2 linked regions of the Drosophila melanogaster genome follow. The protein of the gene in region 1 interacts with the protein of each later gene in a pairwise test. Each region holds a gene or a part of one and is shown on either strand. Other genes may lie near its edges.

The links.
Region 2: the proteins of Xe7 (region 1) and Sry-alpha interact in a two-hybrid assay, tested with the Drosophila melanogaster proteins (one large-scale study listed by BioGRID).

What each region holds. Positions count from the first base shown.
Region 1 is NT_033777.3:5,667,229-5,671,150, reverse strand, and holds the start of Xe7 (Xe7), read left to right. Parts: upstream 1-1,816; 5' UTR 1,817-2,323; coding exon 2,324-2,524; intron 2,525-2,680; coding exon 2,681-3,141; intron 3,142-3,200; coding exon 3,201-3,458; intron 3,459-3,762; coding exon of another isoform or gene 3,763-3,845; coding exon 3,846-3,922.
Region 2 is NT_033777.3:30,037,722-30,041,643, reverse strand, and holds the start of Sry-alpha (serendipity alpha), read right to left. Parts: upstream 1,926-3,922; 5' UTR 1,832-1,925; coding exon of another isoform or gene 1,759-1,831; intron 1,706-1,758; coding exon of another isoform or gene 708-1,705; 5' UTR 383-707; coding exon 1-382. Other genes in the region: Sry-beta (serendipity beta), read right to left, coding at 708-1,705, 1,759-1,831; janA (janus A), read left to right, coding at 2,210-2,399, 2,458-2,582, 2,689-2,781; janB (janus B), read left to right, coding at 3,006-3,057, 3,116-3,271, 3,329-3,453, 3,515-3,604. UniProt on the Drosophila melanogaster protein: Required for the cellularization of the syncytial blastoderm embryo. Involved in the localization of the actin filaments just prior to and during plasma membrane invagination.

The sequences.
Region 1 (3,922 bases):
AACAAAGAACAGCAGACCATTAAAACAGCAGATAATTAAAACCTAAAAATCGGTTGTAGTGTAGTAGAGTAAACATGGTCAGCTGATCGCCTGCATCTTATCGATATTCGATAATTCGATCTGCAACTCATTCTACGGGTTCCCTTTCCCCACTCCATCCGCTTCTTTCCTTCTGGTTCGCTCTCTCAGCTGTTGTTTTGCTTTGTTCCTTCTTGTTTTGCACTTATTCGGGTGCAGTGCAGTTAACAGGAAAAAGCTCTCGAATGACGAACAAATGCACACAGACACCGAGTTATTCTTGTAAAATATGTAAATTATGGCAATTAATTGCAATTTGGCTCAAACGGACGCACAAAACAACCAAAGCGTGAGGGTTGCTGACGTTCTTAAAAAAACAATAAAGAAAATGGCAGCAGGTGTATGTAGTTGCACTTGTTGTAAAGGCGGATGGGGAAAGGGGTGGAAAAAGAAGACGGATGGAATTTCTGCAGTGAAAAGGGCGTCGTCGGATCCCCTGGCGTTGGTGTGCTTTAAACTATAACTAACGGTTAATTAAACCATACCCTACTCACACTCACCTTATATTCTTTAATCAATTTCCACAATGGTCTCCAGTGGGACTGTGTTGCGTGTGTGTGAGTGTACGTGTGTGAAGTGTTATTGTTGCCTGGTTGTGTGCGCGGTGTGTTCGTGTTTTGGCTTTAATCAATTGTAAACGGGCACGAACACACAGGCTCTGCAAATTATTTTACATCAGCTGTAGCTGTATCTGTTTTCAAATGTGTTTATGTGATTGTTTTTATTTGCAACAGCAACAATAACATTTGTATCGCTTCTTCTTTATTTTCGCTCGTCTGCTGCTTCCTCTCTTTCAACGCCACTGTGTTGTTTTATTCTCTTCCTCGCCTTCCACGCTCTTCTTATTTATTTTGTATGGCTCTGCTTCTTCTCTTGCCTGCGTATTACCTATTACTTTAAAAACTATTTTCGTTGCGTATCAAATGTGCAAAAAGCATTAACTCGACTCTTCTTTTAGTCCCAATGTCTATCAATATGTTCGAGCAAGGAAATATTTTCCAAATAATTTATGCTGTTTTCGTTTTTCTCATTTCCTTCTGTTCTTCGCTGTTGCCCTCCTTTTCTTAATCTATTTCTTTGTCTATCACAATTGCGTTGTTGTTGCTACTGCTGCTGCTGCTGTGAGTGTTGTTGTTGTTGTTGTTAGTGCTTGCTTATGCTTTCTGTTTGCTGCTGCTTGTTGTTGTTGGCAGTTTTACTTTTCGCGTCAGTTTTTTGCCATTTACACGATGCGGGCACGGGAGCCTTTTAGGTATTTGGAGTCACACAATTTCACTCACGCATTTTGTTGCTTTGCTTAGATTTCTAATTAAATTAAATGGTATAAAAATTAAATAACGCACTTCGTTCTCACTTTTTTTTGTCTTTGCTTATGCCTCGCGATGTGAGAATGACAACATATTTTCAAGTTGATATCGATAACAGAGCTGGTGCGGAAACGATACTCAATAGCTGCCAACTTGTTTTTAAATGCCCGGCCTCCAGTGCGACGTATTAATTCTAAGAGTTACAAAATGTCCAAATGATTTTTATGAACATTATTTAAATTAAATTTAAATATCTCAGGTTAATATTGGGGTCTCCATTTAGTATTTGTGGCTTCAAAAGTTTATTTAGTGTGTATATCCCCGCATTAACATTAATTTTGGTTAAGTATTTGTTGCACCTTGCTTCTTACACCAGCTTACACCATTCTGTTTAGCCCTTGAGAATACCATCAACTGCCCAGAGAACCCTGTTTTTAGTCCATCCCTATTCGTTTCGTAAATCAAACCTATCGAAAGTCGGCCGCCTCTAGTGAAAAGTGCAAATAAAATAACCCAATAGAGTTTTTATTTTAGCAAATAGCGCAGCATCCGCACATAAAAAGTCACAGCATTTATTATACTTAAGTAGCATTAGCAGCGGTCGAAAGTTAAGGTGGCCCAAGTCCCTACAACAAACCGATACGGGCACCCATCAAAATCTTCCTCCTTAGCACACCTCCCCCCCCCCCCCCCCCCATTCTCATCTAGACACATTCACACTCACACCCACACTCATGAAACACTCATCTACGCAAGGGACACGGGCGGCATTTTCCTTTTGCATTATCCTGGGCGATTCTTGGGATGTCTCCTTAGGGTCTAGCTCTATGCTTGGGAGTCTTACTTGGTAATAGACACACAAATATTACTTTCTGTATTTTGCCTCATTACATTGCACTGTTTCGAAACGAAAAACCGAAAAAAAACACTTTTTCAAAATGACCCACATCCAGACTATAGAAAATGTGGCAGACTGCATTCCTTTTTACTTGCCGCACAGCTTGTACCTCAAGCCGCTGGCCAAAATGCAAATCTCCGTGTCGCTGCCGACGATCAAGTCCGGCAAATCCGTATCTAACCTGGAGATAATGGACAAACTGGGCGCCGAGCTTAAGCCGGACAAGTTTCTCCTGCTCAAAGTAAGTTAATAATCTTATCTTAACTCTGTGCATGCCAAACTACACACAAAAATAACATTTATTTAATTTAAACAAAATATCTAGAAATGTAAGTATGGATACGCATCCACTTCATATAATTTGAATCGAATTTCCATTATCTGTATGCCCGAACAGGTCTCGAAAAGCACTGTAAACACCATCCGATTGGAAGCTGAGCTGGACGAGCGGAAACGTCTTAGGGCGGCCATCCAACGATTGGACGGCATTTCTCTACGCATCTCCGGCTTTAGTGAGTCCTTCCGAGTGCGTTGTGCCGAGTCTAAGGATGACTTTCCAACGCGACACGACTGGGACTCATACTTCCGGGATGCCAGAAACATGGATGAAATGAAGGCCGGCGAACGTCCGGACACCATTCACATCAGCCATCTGCCCATGCGTTGGTTCTGTCCGCGTCACTCGGAGCACGAGGAGAACGTCAAGCCCAGCGAGAACATCTTTAAGCGAATCTTTGAAAAGTTCGGACGCGTCCGGATGGTTGACATACCTATCTGTGATCCGTACCGAAAGAGCATGCAGGCGGACATTAACGGCATGCGGACGTTTAGCTTCGAGCAGGATGTTCTATTCGAAGGGTAAGTTTCGAATAAGATACGAATACTAAGTTCGTGTAGCTAACACTTTTTTTGGACAGATATGTTCAGTTCGAGGAGTACTCAAGCTTCGTCCGGGCCATGGACGAGTTCAGGGGCAATAAGTTGGTCCGAAAGTTTGTGGACAAGACTCAAGCCATCAACATTTGTGTGAGCTTCGACAAACAGAAGCATCTCAGTGACTCGAACATACAGCGCCGAGAACGGATTCGGAAAAAGTTCATCGCGAAAGCCAAGGCCGAGGACGAGGAGCGGGAAAAACTTAAAAAACAGCAGGAAGAGGAATTGGATCGCGAAAGGTTTGATAACTTTTTAGGCCGGAAAACGAATACAGTAACCAAATGGCAATGCATCTATCAGATCTGCTTAAATCTTAATTTTTATTCTAACTTACTGATCTTCAGTACATACTTATGTACCTTAGAAGAAAGTTGATTACCATTGACTTATATTAGAATTAGAAATTGAAATATATCGCGTTTAGTATGGCTGCCTTTCTACTGTTTTCATATCCAGCCATTTTACATTTACTTATTTTTGCTTCTCACCTGGCGGCCGCTGGTCGAGGCGAGCCTTAAGCCAACCGTTCTCTGTATCTTCTAGACGAACAGTTAACAAATATTTATTATGCATAACAAATATATCAAAAGCAAAACAAAACACGCAACATTGCAAAAAAATTACAGGCAAAAGCAAGAAGAGTTGAAAAAAGCGGAAGCGGAAAAGCAGCGTGAACGCGAAGAAAGACGCAAAGAAAAGCACA
Region 2 (3,922 bases), about 24 Mb from region 1:
TGAGCTCAACGAAGGAGTGATCCTCTAGGTTCTTGACTGGGGTCACGTTGCCTTCCAGTTGCGTCAAGGAGACGAGCAGTCGCCGCAAGCACCAGTCCAAGCGGTCGAGGAAGTGCTGCCTGGTCATATGCGGTGCCTCCATGCTGATGGTCCGCTCTAGGTGGGTGATGCAGGTTACCACCTGGGTGAGGCACAGGAAGATGGTCTCCACATCAAGGTTTGCGCCACTGGGCGCCACCTCCGGCAGCCTAGCCTTCAGATCGCTGGCGAAGTCCAGGAAAGTGGCGCAGAACTCGTTCAGCCAGCCAATGTTGCCGGTGCTGCTGTAGCCCTCTGCAATCAGCTCACTGCAAGTGTGTAATTGGGCCAATAGCTGTTCCATGCTGTTCTATCAGATGTGCTCCGGGAAACAGAAATGTTCAACTAAGTTCTGGCGGACGACGCAACACCTTTATATACTTTGCCAAGCGCACAGGTAGAAAGGACCTATTTTGGGGATTAAAAAACATCTGCCTGTTTTATTGCCATACCCGCGAAAATTCGCGAAATCCGCTACTTTACCTACTGGGGTTCCTGGAAAATGGGCGAAGAACGGCAAAGAACTGGTACTTTCCGTCAATAATTGTTTAGATTTAATTTTATGATACATACGCGCGCTAATGCACCCATGAGCTGGGCTTCTTAGATTAATCTAGCAAAGGACTACCCTAAAAGAACGTGACGGTGGCTTCCTTGGCCTCCGCCGACTCTGGCTTCTCGACCGGCTGGTGGACCCGCTTGTGCACCTTCAGGGTGTACTTGTCCACGAACGATTTCTCGCAGTCGGGGCAGGGGTAGCGCGGCCGGTCCGTCTGGTGGGTGCGCAAGTGGTGCTTGTAGGTGCGCTTGGTCTTGAACTGCTGGTGGCACACCTCGCAGATCAGGGCGTTCTCCTCGGCGTCGTGGCGCATCAGATGGTTGTACATCAGCCAGGAGAGCGAGAAGCGTTCGCCGCACTTGTCGCACTGGTACTTCTTCTTGTCCCAGTGCACCTCCATGTGGCGCAGGACGTTCCGCTTGTGCGAGAACTTTTTGTCGCAGTAGCGGCATTCAAGTTCTGTTTTGCCCTCGTGCAAGTTCATATGCAGATCGAGTACCTCGTCGTCCTTCACTTTCAAGCCACACACGTTGCAGGTGGCCTGCTCGCTCTTCTGGCAGGTGTCCGCCTTGATGTGCCGCTCGAGCACCTCCTGGCTGGAAAACATCTCGCCGCAGATATGGCAGGGTATCTCGGTGGTCTCGGTGAAGAACTCCTCCTCCGACGACGGCATGCTGTCGTCCGGCTCGCTGAACTGGAACTCCTCGTCCAGCATCTCCTCCTTCATGAATTCCTCGCACTCATCCTCCTCGCCCGGCTGCCTTTCGGGCTCCTTGAGGGCGGTGGCCTGGACGATCTTGAAGGCCGGCACCTGGACGCGGGCCCTCTTTGCCGCCTGTTGCTTGGTCTCCGCCTTGCCCTCCACCTGCCTGCAGCCGAGCAGTGCGTCCGCAATCTGGCGCTGCACTTGGCTGAGATTCCTCACCAGCCTGTCGTAGTTGAAGAGGTACTCCAGGCAGTCCCGGCAGGCGGCCGAGTTGGGCAGGAGCTCCAGCCGCTGGTTTATGATCTTCTCGAAGTATTTCAGTATATCCTTGATGGGCTTAAAGGTTCCTGGCACAATGCAGCCTGTGAAAAAGTCGGCTATCAGGACTTTCGAGTGCGGCGTAAGCGAACGTTACCTTCTATCAGCTGGAACACCCCCACGGACTTCTCCTTGCCGCAAACGAAGCAAAACGGACGCGTGGAGCTCATCTAGTCGCCGTGGAATCCAATCGAAAATTCGGCTTAAACAATTTAATTTGTGTATATTTTGTTGTGAACGCCAGAGCTGTGCCGATAGTGCCGATAGTATCGACTGCGTGCTGTCGGCGTAATCGATAAATTTGCTGTCACTGATAACAACGTTTTCTTTTTGAGTTTATTAATTATTACTAAAATATACTGAGTAGTACAAAAAACGTTTTCCCAAATGTACTAAAGAAATAACTGAATATTATAATTTTAATAGTATCGATACATAAGGTGAACGAGAATAAAAGTATCTGGTCACATTGCTGGACTAAAGCAGCGTTTTTGGAAAATTTGCCGGTTGGTAAGACATTAAATTCTGTTTTCAAACACTTTTCCACAATGAATCGCCTCCAACTGCTTTCCAAAGGACTACGACTGATTCACAAAATGTCCGAGGAAGCACTTGCCGGCGTGCCACTGGTGCACATCAGTCCAGAGGGCATCTTCAAGTATGTCATGATCAATGTCTTCGATGGAGGAGATGCTTCAAAGGCGGTGATCCGCGGATTTGCGGACTGCACATGGCATGGTAAGTCGGATCCTCATCACCCATCAAGTGCCCACTTAGCTTGGTTACTGTCCCACAGCCGACATCTTCGAGCGCGAGGAGGAGGTCTTTAAAAAACTGGGGCTGCGGGCCGAGTGTCCTGGCGGCGGTCGCATTGAACACAATCCCGAGAAGAAGTACTTGAAGGTCTACGGATACTCGCAGGTGGGTCTATTCCCTTGAGTAAAGGGGTCGCTGGGCAGTGGATGGACTGATGTATCTAACTACTTGAAAAATTTTCTGGAGTTCTAATCAAGTCTTTCTATTTAAGGGCTTTGGAAAAGCTGATCACGCGCAGACCAAACGCATCCTGGCCACCAAATACCCGGACTACACGATCGAAATCTCCGATGAGGGATATTAGCTGCAATCAACGAGAGAAGACTCCACATAAGCACACTGACATGAATTTATACCATTGGCTTTGATCCTGTGTGCCATGATTTTATTGGAAATGGCATTTAAAATTGAGAAATGCTCTGAAAGGCAGTTAGTCTGTAGCTTTGCAACTGCTCGCACTAAACCTTTTCGGATCTAAATTAATCAGTTTGTACACAAATTTCGTTTCTTTTCCTTTGGTTAAATAAAATGAAAATGTTCAAGTCATTGCGTCTGCTTCCTCATATTGTTTCTCCGTTTCGTAAGGCTTAGGAATATTCAATATTAAGATTTACAAGCCCTAATATACTTGGTTTTAGAAAAATGTTACTCAACCGATTTGATAAGTTTGGTAGGCGTTCCCCGGGTCAAGATAACCAAGGGTCAGAATCGTTATTTGTTGGTGAATATTCATACGCATGGCTTCACGAAGTATGGAAGAGTTATTGTCCGTGGCGCCGATGTTGACAATCACTGTGAGTTTCCACTGCTGGACGCTTAACCTTGAGCAGTCTTACAAATCCTTCTTTCAGTGGCGGTCTTCGACTCGATTTTGGAGGAGCTGGAACCCGAGGGCATATGTGCCAAAATCCTCGGTGGTGGAAGGATTCTCAACGAGGCAGAAAATAAAAAAATTAAGATCTATGGCACCTCCAGGGTAAGTAGAGGATCCTTGGTCCTTGAAGCACCGGCTAATGGTTCTTGATGGGTCTCCCTAGACTTTCGGCGGTGCTGATCACACAAGGACAAGGAATATACTTCAAGCGTGGACCACTTATAAGGACTTTAAGATAACCGTTAAACAATAAAGTTGCATAAATTTCGAAAATGGAAATTCAGTACTAATAAAAAGAAAATAGAATATAAAAGTAGCGCTCTTTCAATATTATTAAGGGGTAATCGAACAGGCGATTGTAATTGGCGGAATATGGTTGATATTTCCATTTCTGGAGAGAGTAGAAAGAAGAGTAATTTTGCATTTATAGTTTAGTTCATACAAAAATTTCTTTCACAAGATACAAGGGCTTAGTACTTTTTGAATGATCACATGTGCTCCGATTTTCGTGTCAGTCTTGAATTTAGCATACGACCGGAAGGCTTCTGACAAAATCAGTCTAGCTGGAGCC